Arabidopsis thaliana: one gene and its partner. The protein of the gene in region 1 interacts with the protein of each later gene in a pairwise test. Each region holds a gene or a part of one and is shown on either strand. Other genes may lie near its edges.

Region 1 (6,175 bases):
TTAATTGATAAATAATATTTTTGGTGTTTTTCCTATTTATCATTTTGATGCATTTATCTAACTCTTGAGTAAATGATTCATTCTAATTTTAATTACATTGTCTAAAACATATTTAAATTTACATACACTAATAAGAAATTGTTATCTTTAACGTATTTTTTAATAAATAAAAAAAATAGTGTTAATTTAGTATAATTAGATATTTGCCTTAAAATAAACCGTAAACTCAACTAATATACATTGTTACTAATTCTATATATATTAGTATATAAAAACATGAAATAAATTCTTATATTATATTATTTAATTTGTATACTTTAATAAAATCAAAAATTTCATTAAAATTCTAATGATTTTATGTATAAGAATAAATTTATACGACTTATACAACTAAATTTAAATAAGTTAATTTAAATAATTTAATTAATAAGTTAAATTAAAATATTTAAAGCTTAATTATATAATCAAACTATATTAAAATATTTTTATTTATTTTAATATAGTGAATATATCTATGAGAGATTTCGAAGACACTTGTCATTCACTATATTAAAATACTTGAAATTATTTGAGTAAATTGAAATTAGTGAATGACAAATGTCTTCGAAGTCTCTCGTAGATATTTCAACTAAGAACCTCATCCAACTCTGTATTGTGCTCTTTATGTTCCTTTTATGTATCTTGTATATTTGTATGACCAATACACAAGTATGTACAAAATGAATGACTTTTATGGTTTCATTTCCCCATCACGTTTTTTCTTTTGATAAAAGGAGGACTCGACTTACACAGTGCAAACAAATAGAAAAGAAATGAAAAAACCATTTACACCACAATACTTGTTCAAATGGAGTTCTTTCTGAATACAAAGCTCCAATAGATCAAAAGAGAATTAGGCGTTTGAATTGAAACTGAACTCAATTATTATGTGACTTCTTCTTTGACAAGAACATAAAAAACCGGGGGAAAGAAAGCTTCTTCTTTTTCTTTCGAGACTTGGTCTGTGGGGATAGATTGGTTTCAGAGTTTTCTTCTGTTCCATATGACTCACTTGGGCTGGAGGCATAAACAACAGCTTCAGGTGATTGCTCCATCTTTCCTCCTTCAAAGCTTTCTTTTAGGTTTTTCTCAGTGTTGACTCCATCACCAGCCTTTCTCTTTTGTTCATGTTCTGCCCTCCATTTCCTCAGCTCCTGCTCCACCCCCAACTTCCCTTCTTTGGCCTTCTCAGCCTTTTCAGTTGCTTCTTTTAATGCCTTCTTTCTCGCATCCATGTCTCTGTTTACTTCTTCCAACTTCTCCAAGCTTCTCATTTCTGTTTCTTTAGCTTCCTCGATTCTTGAAACCGCTGCTGCTACTCTTGCGTTCGCGAGTTCTTCTGCCTCGTGAGCACGTTTGCTGAGCTCATAGTACTCTTCTAGCGAAAGTGTAACGCTTCGTGGAGAATCGGTGTCATTAGCTTTCAATGTTGATTCACTCTCCTCCAAAGCCTTGATGGCAGCTAAGGCCAGCCTCTCTGAAGCTTTAGCTGCTTCGATTTCCTTCTGCGCAGCAAATAGCCTGCTCTCCATTGTACTTGCTCCAGCTTTTGCTTGCTCTGCTTCTTCTTTCGCCTTTCGTAGCTCTTCGCGAGCAACTTCAGCAAGTGACTTTGCTTCATCAGCCTCTTCTGCTGCTTGCTGAAGTTGCTTCGGTAGCTCCACCATTTTCTCTCTCGCGTCTTTCTCCTTTGACTGAACCGAAGCTATTTCCGACCTCGTTCTGTCAATTTCAGCCTCTATAGAAGCTACTGCTATAGAGGCCATTCCTTCTCTCTGTTTGATAGAGGCAAGAGTAGACTTTTCTTTCTCGAGTTCCAGTTGCAAGGAAGAGGAGGCCAATTTCAAGCAACTCACTTCAGCAGCTGCTTTCTCAATATTGACATTGACCTCTTCAAGTTCCTTCTTTGCAGAGGCAACAGCTGCATGTAAATCTGGATGGCTCATGTTTTCTGTCGAAGGATCGGTGTTTGTGGTTGAGTCACACGCTTCTTGTTTTAGCTTGGATTCCATATAAGCTACCAATTCCGCCTTCAAATCAAGAAGCAGCGCTGAGGCAGTGTCGAGCTTCGATTTTAGATCTTTCGAAGAATGTATCTGTTGGTTAAGTCTTTGGAGTTCCTCTTCCGCTTGCTTCAGTTCCTTCTCCCAACGGTGAGTATCCTGGTCTCTAGCCATAGCTGCTCCAATCCTCTGTTCTTCCGCCTCTAAATGAGAAGCATGTGCTGATTCCAATGACTCCTTTGTAGCTATCAACTCTATGGTGAGTTCTTCCACTGTCTTCTCAACTTCTTTTGACGCCAACATTGCTTCTTCTACTTTCTTTACAGCCACATCTTTATCTTGCACCAGAGCATCATATTCCTTATGCAGAGTTTCTAGTTCCTCCTTGACAGAAGACAACTCTGTAATCGCTGTTGTATGCCTCGCCTTAGCCACCTCAAGTTGCGCTTTAGCTGCAACACTGACATCTTCAGCTATTCCTTGTTCCATCTCTTCAACCCTCAGCTTAGCAAGCTCCGAGTCTTGCTTCGCCTGTTGTTCTTCTGTTTGTGCCTTGTCCAAATTAAGCTTCAACTGTTCTATAAGTCTCTTTGTGCTTTCCAGCTCCTTAAGCACTTGCAGTTTTGCAGCCTCTGCAGTTTCTGAATGTGTTTTGTACTCAGGAATCTCCTCATGAATCTTTTTAAGCTCTTCTTCAATAAGCTTTCGTCTCTGCAAAACCATACACGAAAATATGAACAAGAAAGGCAACAACAAATTAAAACGAGAAATAATCCAAATGTATCCGTTAGTACAATACCTCTACCGCTTGCATTCGGTGAGACTTCCAGTCAGTAATTCCTCCAAATTTTGATACAGCTTCTTTAACAGATTCAAATGGCGCTGCGGTATCGATTAAACCTCGATGTGAGTCCACATTTTTCGGTGTTCCAGTGCTCACCGGTGATCCTGAAAATCTAGGAGATGATACAGTTCTAGGTGACCCCCCACCATTTCTTGCTGTACCCGTCGCAGCCTCGGTAATCTTGACACTAGGTAAACCAATCTCATCTGGCTCCATCACTTCTTCTACAATTGTTGTACTCGTACTATCTTTTCCGGTTAACACCGCAGCGGTTGCAGCATCAGAAGGCGAAAACGTGTCATCGACATAAATCTTCGCATTGCCGGTAGTGTCATCAGTTTGAGATTGTTGAGTCTCTTCAGTATCAGTTTGAGATTGTTGAGTCTCTTCAGTGTCAGTTTGAGATTGTGGAATATTATCAACCTTTGTTGCAGATTGTATGTTAGATTCTCGAATGGTGGAATCAATCAACTCAGGATTGACTTTCTCAACATTATCACTAACAACATTATCAGATGCTTCAACAGTTTTTAAGTCCTCCATTCCCCTGTAACCTGAAATTGCTACAAAACATAAAGACTAATTGAGAAAAAATTGAATACAAAACATCTTTGATGATCAAATTACTCTAATCAAACAAATATGGTATACAAGAATCAAACATACTTTAATCAAGATCATCGGATTTTCATCTTTGTGTAAACAAATTCGGAAACGTGAGTAAATAATTACCAATTCCAGGATTTAATAGTGTTTTTTTAAGAAGATAAATACGAACAATGATAATTTCCTACAATTCAAAGAAAAATGAAAAGTTTCCGAATTTCAAGAATTCTGAGTTTATCAGCTGGAGAAAAAAAAAATATGAAAAATACAAAAGTTGTATGCCGACAAAAAAAAGCTGCATCAAGAAGATTCAAGAAGAGAAGAGAAGTCTTACCGGAGGATTATGATGATCGGAGGTAGTAGAAGAAGTTTAATTTATTATTTCAGACAGAAATTAGAAAGAGATAACTGCGGTCGCGGAGACAAATCATGAAGCTATCTCTCATCGGCTCATCTTCATCATCCATCTGGCATTCTCTCTCTTTCATAATGTTCGGTTTTGTTTGTTTATTTTATTTTTTTTCCTTTTTTTTTAGTTATTTTGTTATTCAGTTTTAGTTTTTAATAAAGAAAATTAGTGGCTTCTTGGTGTTTCATTGGTCCACGTATAAAAAGTAGTTAAACCAAACTACTTGACCTGAACAACAACAAAAAAACTGGTTTTTGTTTATTTTTAGAGATGAATGAGGCTGGCAAAGTGGAGAGGGTCGCACCAAGCAAGTTTTGAGTTACATTACCCGACCCGGATTCGATCTTTAATGTAATATTGTTTAATAGAAAATAAATTTGTATCAATTGTTTTAGTTCGTTTAAATCTTCTATTTTTTTTTAATTTAAGGAATTTTAGACCAAAAAATTCAGAATAGTAAGATTAAATCAAAAACAAAAAATTTGTTTCTTTACAACTAAAAACGATGGTCATACTCAGTATAAGAAAGAATTTGTTTGGAACTTAGTGTGATTGGTTTAAACGCAGCCAATGTGGATAAAATTACAGGAGTATACAAAAGTGGACGGTTGCGGTTTTAAATGTTATCAAGCAGTTTAAACGATTGGTTTAGCGGTTGAAAATATATGCTTTGTAAAAATTATATAATTGATAAAATAGCGGATGTGAGAACGATATAAAGAAAAGAAAATTTGTTAATCAAGACGGTCAAAACCAAAAAGTTTCGTCCTTCGACTAAATTTTAATATGTTATCGGCTTCAATTCGAAGTGAAAACCCTAGAGAACCGAAAGAAATCATAAACTCTAGTAATTAATGTTCTAAAATTATAAACCAAGAAGGGTGAGGCCCGTGAGGGATAGATGGAGAGGAGACGATCATAAACTAAGAAGAGTGTTTATAATGACGTTTTGAATTTCCTCAATGAAACCTTCTCACGTTTTGAGAAGTAGGAAAGCTTTGCAGGTACACGTGGCATTTGAGAATTAGCTATCAGAGTGTTTGTCTACGTGGCATCTTGAGAGAGTAGTTTACCAATTGATGAGATTGATGGTTTGAGAAATCTCAATAAATTTTTTTTCTTAATAGTAAATTTTCTTAATTTATATTTTAAATTAAATTATCAAAAGTGGTTAGTTTTGCAAATCATCTTTCTTGATTACTCAATAAATTTCTCTCTCATCATATTATATATATATATATATATATATATATTAAAAGCATTCAAATTCAGAAAGCAAAAATTGAAATAATAATTCTGCTAATCGGATAATTGTAATAAGATGATGACGACGACGAATTAAGGTGTCATTTTTGGTACACATTCACTCACTTACTAATCATATTCGAGATTGATGATTTGCCGTATCAAAATTATTCATTGATTTTGGGTTCCAATTGGTCTTAATAAAATATAACACTTTGCAAATGTTCAAACATACAAATTTGTATGAAATGCAAGATCTATTTAATTCTAAAAGTATTACATTAAATCAAATGTAACCGGTGAAAAAGAATAAGAAAAAAAAACAAATGTAACCATTTCTTTGCATTATAGTTTTAAATAGACAAACTTAAATATAATTACAAGTACAACTCTTGATTTTATATTGGGATACAGGGATAATAGTATAGGTTTGATTGGTGATTATCAACCGCAGTTTTTTTTCTTGTCATCATTTCAACTGCAATTTGGGATCCAAAAAACAACCAATTGTAAATACTTCACATTGGTGGGTGAGAATAAAAGTGTCAACTTCATTTTCCATCTCTTTATCTATCTAATCAAAGAATTCTATCAACTCAATGATGAAGAAACTTCAACTTTGCATGTCTTGAGAAAAAAAGATATTCCAGCATATCAATGTCGAATCATGTGATTTGAAAGGATAAAAGTATATTGCTCACAAAATTTCTAAGTGTTTTCGCGGAAAATAATAATAATATATGCGATTCTATTCTTTTCTTTGTCAATTGTTCCAAAAATACATTACGAAATTTTACGGTAGAGCACCACAAAAAAAAACGATATTGCTCAATAAAACATTCACATCAAGAAGTTATTGCTCAATAAAAAAAAATTGTTTTGTAATAAAAAAAACTTTTCTTTTAATATATTTTTATTTTTGTAACTGTGAGGTTCAACCATAAATTTTTTTTTTATTAAAACCAATAAATATAGCTTAAATCTCTTTCAAACTTTTTTACATATGTGACTAACCATCAGTGACAATTC
Region 2 (4,856 bases), on another chromosome or scaffold:
TCTCACTACTTTTCCGGACAGATTTTATGGAAGTCGATCTCACTACTTCTTCATTGACGAGGAGAAAAAAGTCGCTGTGGTTTTCAAGAATGAACCTGAATGGACCATGGATTGTTCCTACCAAACAGCTTACATTATTGGAAAAGGAGGATATCTCAAATCTGTGAAATTCGGAGAAACTCCTAATGACCGGAAACATAACAACGCATGGAATATTAACTCGTTTATGTTATCTTCTTATGTTCCAAGTTTAGTGCAACTATAAATCAAGCAACGGGGCAAAAGGAAAGAAAGAGATTATTATTAAGTAGTTTCATTTGCTACACATTATTTGTTTCTTGTATCATCTCCTTTAGATAAAGATTACTTCCAGTCAGGTATTAACTTGTGTTTTTCCAATTTCATCAAATGCTTTTGCATATTTTACCATAACTTTTTTTGTCTTACTAGATCTTCCAATTTTGTACCCAACACAAACGTTCACGTACCTGCTTTTACAAATTTTTGCAGTTTCATGTGTTTGAATCCCTCGAACATGAATTTCATTGTGTCATAAGTTATGCCTCGACCAATTGTTGTGAGTAAAGATTTGTCTGAATTATTTCACGTTCTTAACAATGTGAAAGAGAAGCTGACTCGATAGCCTACCAACTCTTTGGATAGTCGCACGAGAATTAAGAACATCAAAAGGAGTCCGACTTGTTCTTCCTTTCGTTCACACCCCCACAAGCAAATCAAGTGGCGGATTATTTAGCGAAATATTTGTCCCATTTTTCATCACATTCGAAGCGATTGTTTCTTAATCTTTACCAGACCCGATAGCCTACCAACTCTTTGACCTGGTAATGCATTTCGGTTGGACCAAAATATTAAAAAACCATAATCGTTGACTTTTTAGTTGATTGAATTCTTAGACTGATTTCTTGAAGATTCAGTGCACGGATACTTTTTAAACAGTGGCACTTACACAGCAAAAACCTAGCGAAAGAATACAAATGGAAAAGACATTTCGATTTACATATTTAGCCTAACTTTTCGTTACATAGTTCAGCTCATAGATAGGGTTAGTTTTGTCATTTGAGTTTACCCACCAAGGGTTAGTATATGTCGGATGCTTTGTTTGACCACTAGCATGCACACCAACACGGAACCGTGTATGTTTTTGCTTTTAATAACTTAGTCACGAGTATACCCTCTTTACAAGCTCCAAAGTTGGTTCTGATCGTATAATTTCATACTTACCAAATGTTAGTTTAATTAATTCTTACGAAAATATTTTCACTTTTAAAAGCTTTTCTTCGTTTTTGTACCATTATGTCAAAATTGGGATTCAAAAATAGATTTTGATACATGGAAACAATGATCTCATATGCAGAATTTAGGACCCTAACTGGCTTTTTTACATGTGCATGCGCATGTGAGGTTTTTCTACTAATTTGCATTTGCTTTTTGCATCTGATGTTTTTCTTCTAGATAAGAACTGATTTTAAGAAAAACATCATTGTTAGAGCCAATATATCAATTTGAGATACACATAAATATGGTCTTGACCGCTCCCTTGTTCCAAGTTTCGAGTAACCACACAAAAAAAAGTTTTGTATGTCTCTCGATATATATATATGTCTTTTATATGTTATTTTCTGATTCGTCGTAGTTATATCGATTAGATTCTATGACACGGTTAATCCAATATTTAGAGTGAGGCAATGATTGGTCTAATTTGGAACTGAATTAACTCATGTTAGGTGGAGGTTGAAAACAGAAACAACCATATTTGTAGTTCTTGTATGAATATAAATTTTCTTCATAAAATCGTTTGACTTAATTATATTTCTTACATATAATACGGCTACATGAGTATATAACAACATAAAACCTGGAAAAATAAGCACAACCATAAATCACGCGCGGTAGTTACAGTCATTCAGATTTTAATATATATGCTAATTTTTTCATCTTGAAAACACCATAACAAACAAACAAAAAAATGTAATCAAATCAAAAGAAAGGTAATGCGAATTTGCCATGGACCGACATATTAAACTTTATTCTTTTAAAACATTATGAATGATTTTTTTCAACGTTAACGACTTTAATTAAAATTAGAAGGAATCTCTGTAATATTTCCCAGCTTCACACACACTAAAATTCAAAAAAATAACATTTTCAACCAAACCTCCTCAACATATATAAATAGTAACATAGCCACTTTATAACACATTTTCACATTATCAAATCAAATAAACAAAAAAAAAAAAAAAGCAAAGCGAAGAAAAAAAAATGGGAAACAGCATTACTGTGAAGAGAAAAAGAGCTAAAGTAATGAAGATCGACGGCGAAACTTTCCGAATTAAAACTCCGGTGACGGCGAGAGAAGTCACCGCGGATTATCCCGGTTACGTTTTGTTAGATTCTCAAGCCGTTAAACACTTTGGAGTTCGCTCTAAGCCGCTTGAACCGAACCAAACCTTGAAGCCGAAAAAGACTTATTTTCTCGTCGAGCTTCCTAAGCTTCCACCGGAGACGACGGCGGTGGATACAGAAAATAAGCTACCGTACCGGAGAGTGATGTCTGGTATCCACGTTGGCGCAAAGGAGCGGTTAGATATGTTGATGTTGTCTCGGAGAACGGTTTCTGACGTCACAATCGGAAGATCTGACGGTGGAGATGGGTTTGGGCCTGAGCTTGGGCCTGGACATACGAGTGTGAGGTTGAGGTTGCCTCGTTCTCAGATCACGAAGCTTATGGAAGAGAATAATAATGATGCTTCGGCCATAGCTGAGAAGATTTTAGGTATCTATATGGAGAGGTCTGGCGAGCTTGGCGGCGGTAGAGGTGGTGTTGACGGCCGCCGGGAACTTGGAAGTGGGGAGATTAAAGCGCGTGAGGTAATTCTTGTTTTTTTACTTTGAGTTTTGGTCAAATAGTTTCACCGCGTTAAATTTAATCTTTGACATAAAAAATTGAAGCGGACATATTCAACTAATTAATCAACTTAATAGAGAATCTATATAAGTGGTACAATCAACAAGCATAAAATGAATTTAACTACTTTGGAGTTGATAACTCAGCTGGTTCAATCTAGAACCATGTTTTTGAGAAGCCGGGTCAGATTCTGAGTTTGAACACGGGTTAATTTAGTATGTTCTACTTCTCAAGTTGAAGAGATTAGAGATGTATGGGTCTCGGTCCGAAACTTCTGAGATTATAATGAATTATTATTAATAATTTGTGTCAATCATCATTTGTCGGAATTACCGAAATATCATCCCGGAATTGCGCAAATAGTTTAAATTTTTAATGTTCCTAAATTGATGTAGAAGGCAAGAAACGGAAGTTAATTCGTTAGGCATTGCTTTGGCGTTGGATTAGAGTTATAAAATTATTATTGTAAGCCACTAATTAAGCCCACTAGGGTATATTTTTGTCATCTACATACGTGAGTATGACGTAAGTAAATATATACAAAACAAATTTACATAAACACACATTTACATGATATGCATGTTACTATAGTCAAACTTTTATCGGAGTAGGAGTGGACTTATAAATGGATTTACAAAGGAATTCGTAAATGAATTCACATGTTCATGAAATTGTATACATCTTTGTCTTAATAACATTGTCGAAGGATATGCTTAGAAACACATGTTTATTAGTTTTTGTAATATCTCGGGGGAAAAAAAGATTAATGCATTATCATATCTTACCAATGATCAAGATCCTCTCGATCATCAAATGATTTATCGGTTTGTTTGGTTAATCATATATTATAAATTAATAATTAAGAGTCAAAGAAGTAATGATATTAATTTTTTTTAATGATATTAAATTAAACATGTGCAGAAGCAGGTGAGTTTCGCCGGAGAAGGTGGACGGGAGCTTCCTGTTCTATGGAGTAGAAGTGGAAAATAATCATCAAATATTCAAATAGACAAACTAATTCTCTTTTTTGAACCCCTTTTATTTTTTTTCTTATATGAAGTTATTGTGGTAGGACTCATATATTATGTGTATAAATCTCTTTTATCTAGCAACTAGAGATTATTTAGAATTGTTTGTTTTCCTTTACGTTAATTAGTCTTTTCATACTTTAAGATATAAGAAATTATAGAAGCTAATGGACATGGTTGGGTGCCTACCCTACCAGTTACCAAATAATCAACGATCGTTATATTGCAATCAGCCTTTTTTGATTAAAAAGTAGGACCCTAAAAAGTATTCCCAAAATGGTTGGATTTTGAAGAAGAATAATCTAAAATGATATTGCCTTTAGAAAGTTAAAATTTTTGGGCAGTCCACTAAACGAGACTCGTTCTGCTGGTTATCCGTTATGGCTGTAATTATTGATACAAACTGATACAATAAACGATGAAGGTTTAATATCTTGATTAAAAATGAAATGATGAAACCGTCAACTACGTACAACTTAAAAATCTAACAAACGATTTTTTTTGTACTCAACGTTAAAAATACACACATATGTAAAGTAACATCACGCCTTGTACAGTAAAGAACCATAAGAAACTATTCAAACTGCGTCATGATAAAATCTATGTAGACTACTCAAATTCACGATATTTAGCAATATATTTTCAAGATTGTAACCCTTTAGTCTATTGCCATAACTTGACTAACAAACACTTCCACACAACTATTGAATTTAACTAGTACACTTTTTTCTTCTCAGTATGACTTTTTAGTGATTTTGCAAAATTTGGTTGGAAAGATGCGAGTAATAACCAAAATGCCATAGTTTCCCAGTTAGAGGAATGCTCATAATATTTAGTCTTCTACTAAAGCATTCCAAAACTATAATCATCAAACATTTTCAGGATAAAAGAAAAAGATTTTT

What was found.
Region 2: the proteins of WEB1 (region 1) and AT1G66480 interact in a two-hybrid assay, tested with the Arabidopsis thaliana proteins (one study listed by BioGRID).

The regions. Positions count from the first base shown.
Region 1 is NC_003071.7:11,296,819-11,302,993, reverse strand, and holds WEB1 (WEAK CHLOROPLAST MOVEMENT UNDER BLUE LIGHT-like protein (DUF827)), read right to left. Parts: upstream 4,081-6,175; 5' UTR 3,827-4,080; intron 3,826-3,826; exon of another isoform or gene 3,553-3,825; intron 3,450-3,552; 5' UTR 3,430-3,449; coding exon 2,842-3,429; intron 2,754-2,841; coding exon 918-2,753; 3' UTR 675-917; downstream 1-674. UniProt on the Arabidopsis thaliana protein: Required for the chloroplast avoidance response under high intensity blue light. This avoidance response consists in the relocation of chloroplasts on the anticlinal side of exposed cells.
Region 2 is NC_003070.9:24,804,830-24,809,685, reverse strand, and holds AT1G66480 (plastid movement impaired 2), read left to right. Parts: upstream 1-2,128; 5' UTR 2,129-2,280; coding exon 2,281-2,889; intron 2,890-3,847; coding exon 3,848-3,916; 3' UTR 3,917-4,268; downstream 4,269-4,856. Other genes in the region: AT1G66490 (F-box and associated interaction domains-containing protein), read left to right, coding at 1-265.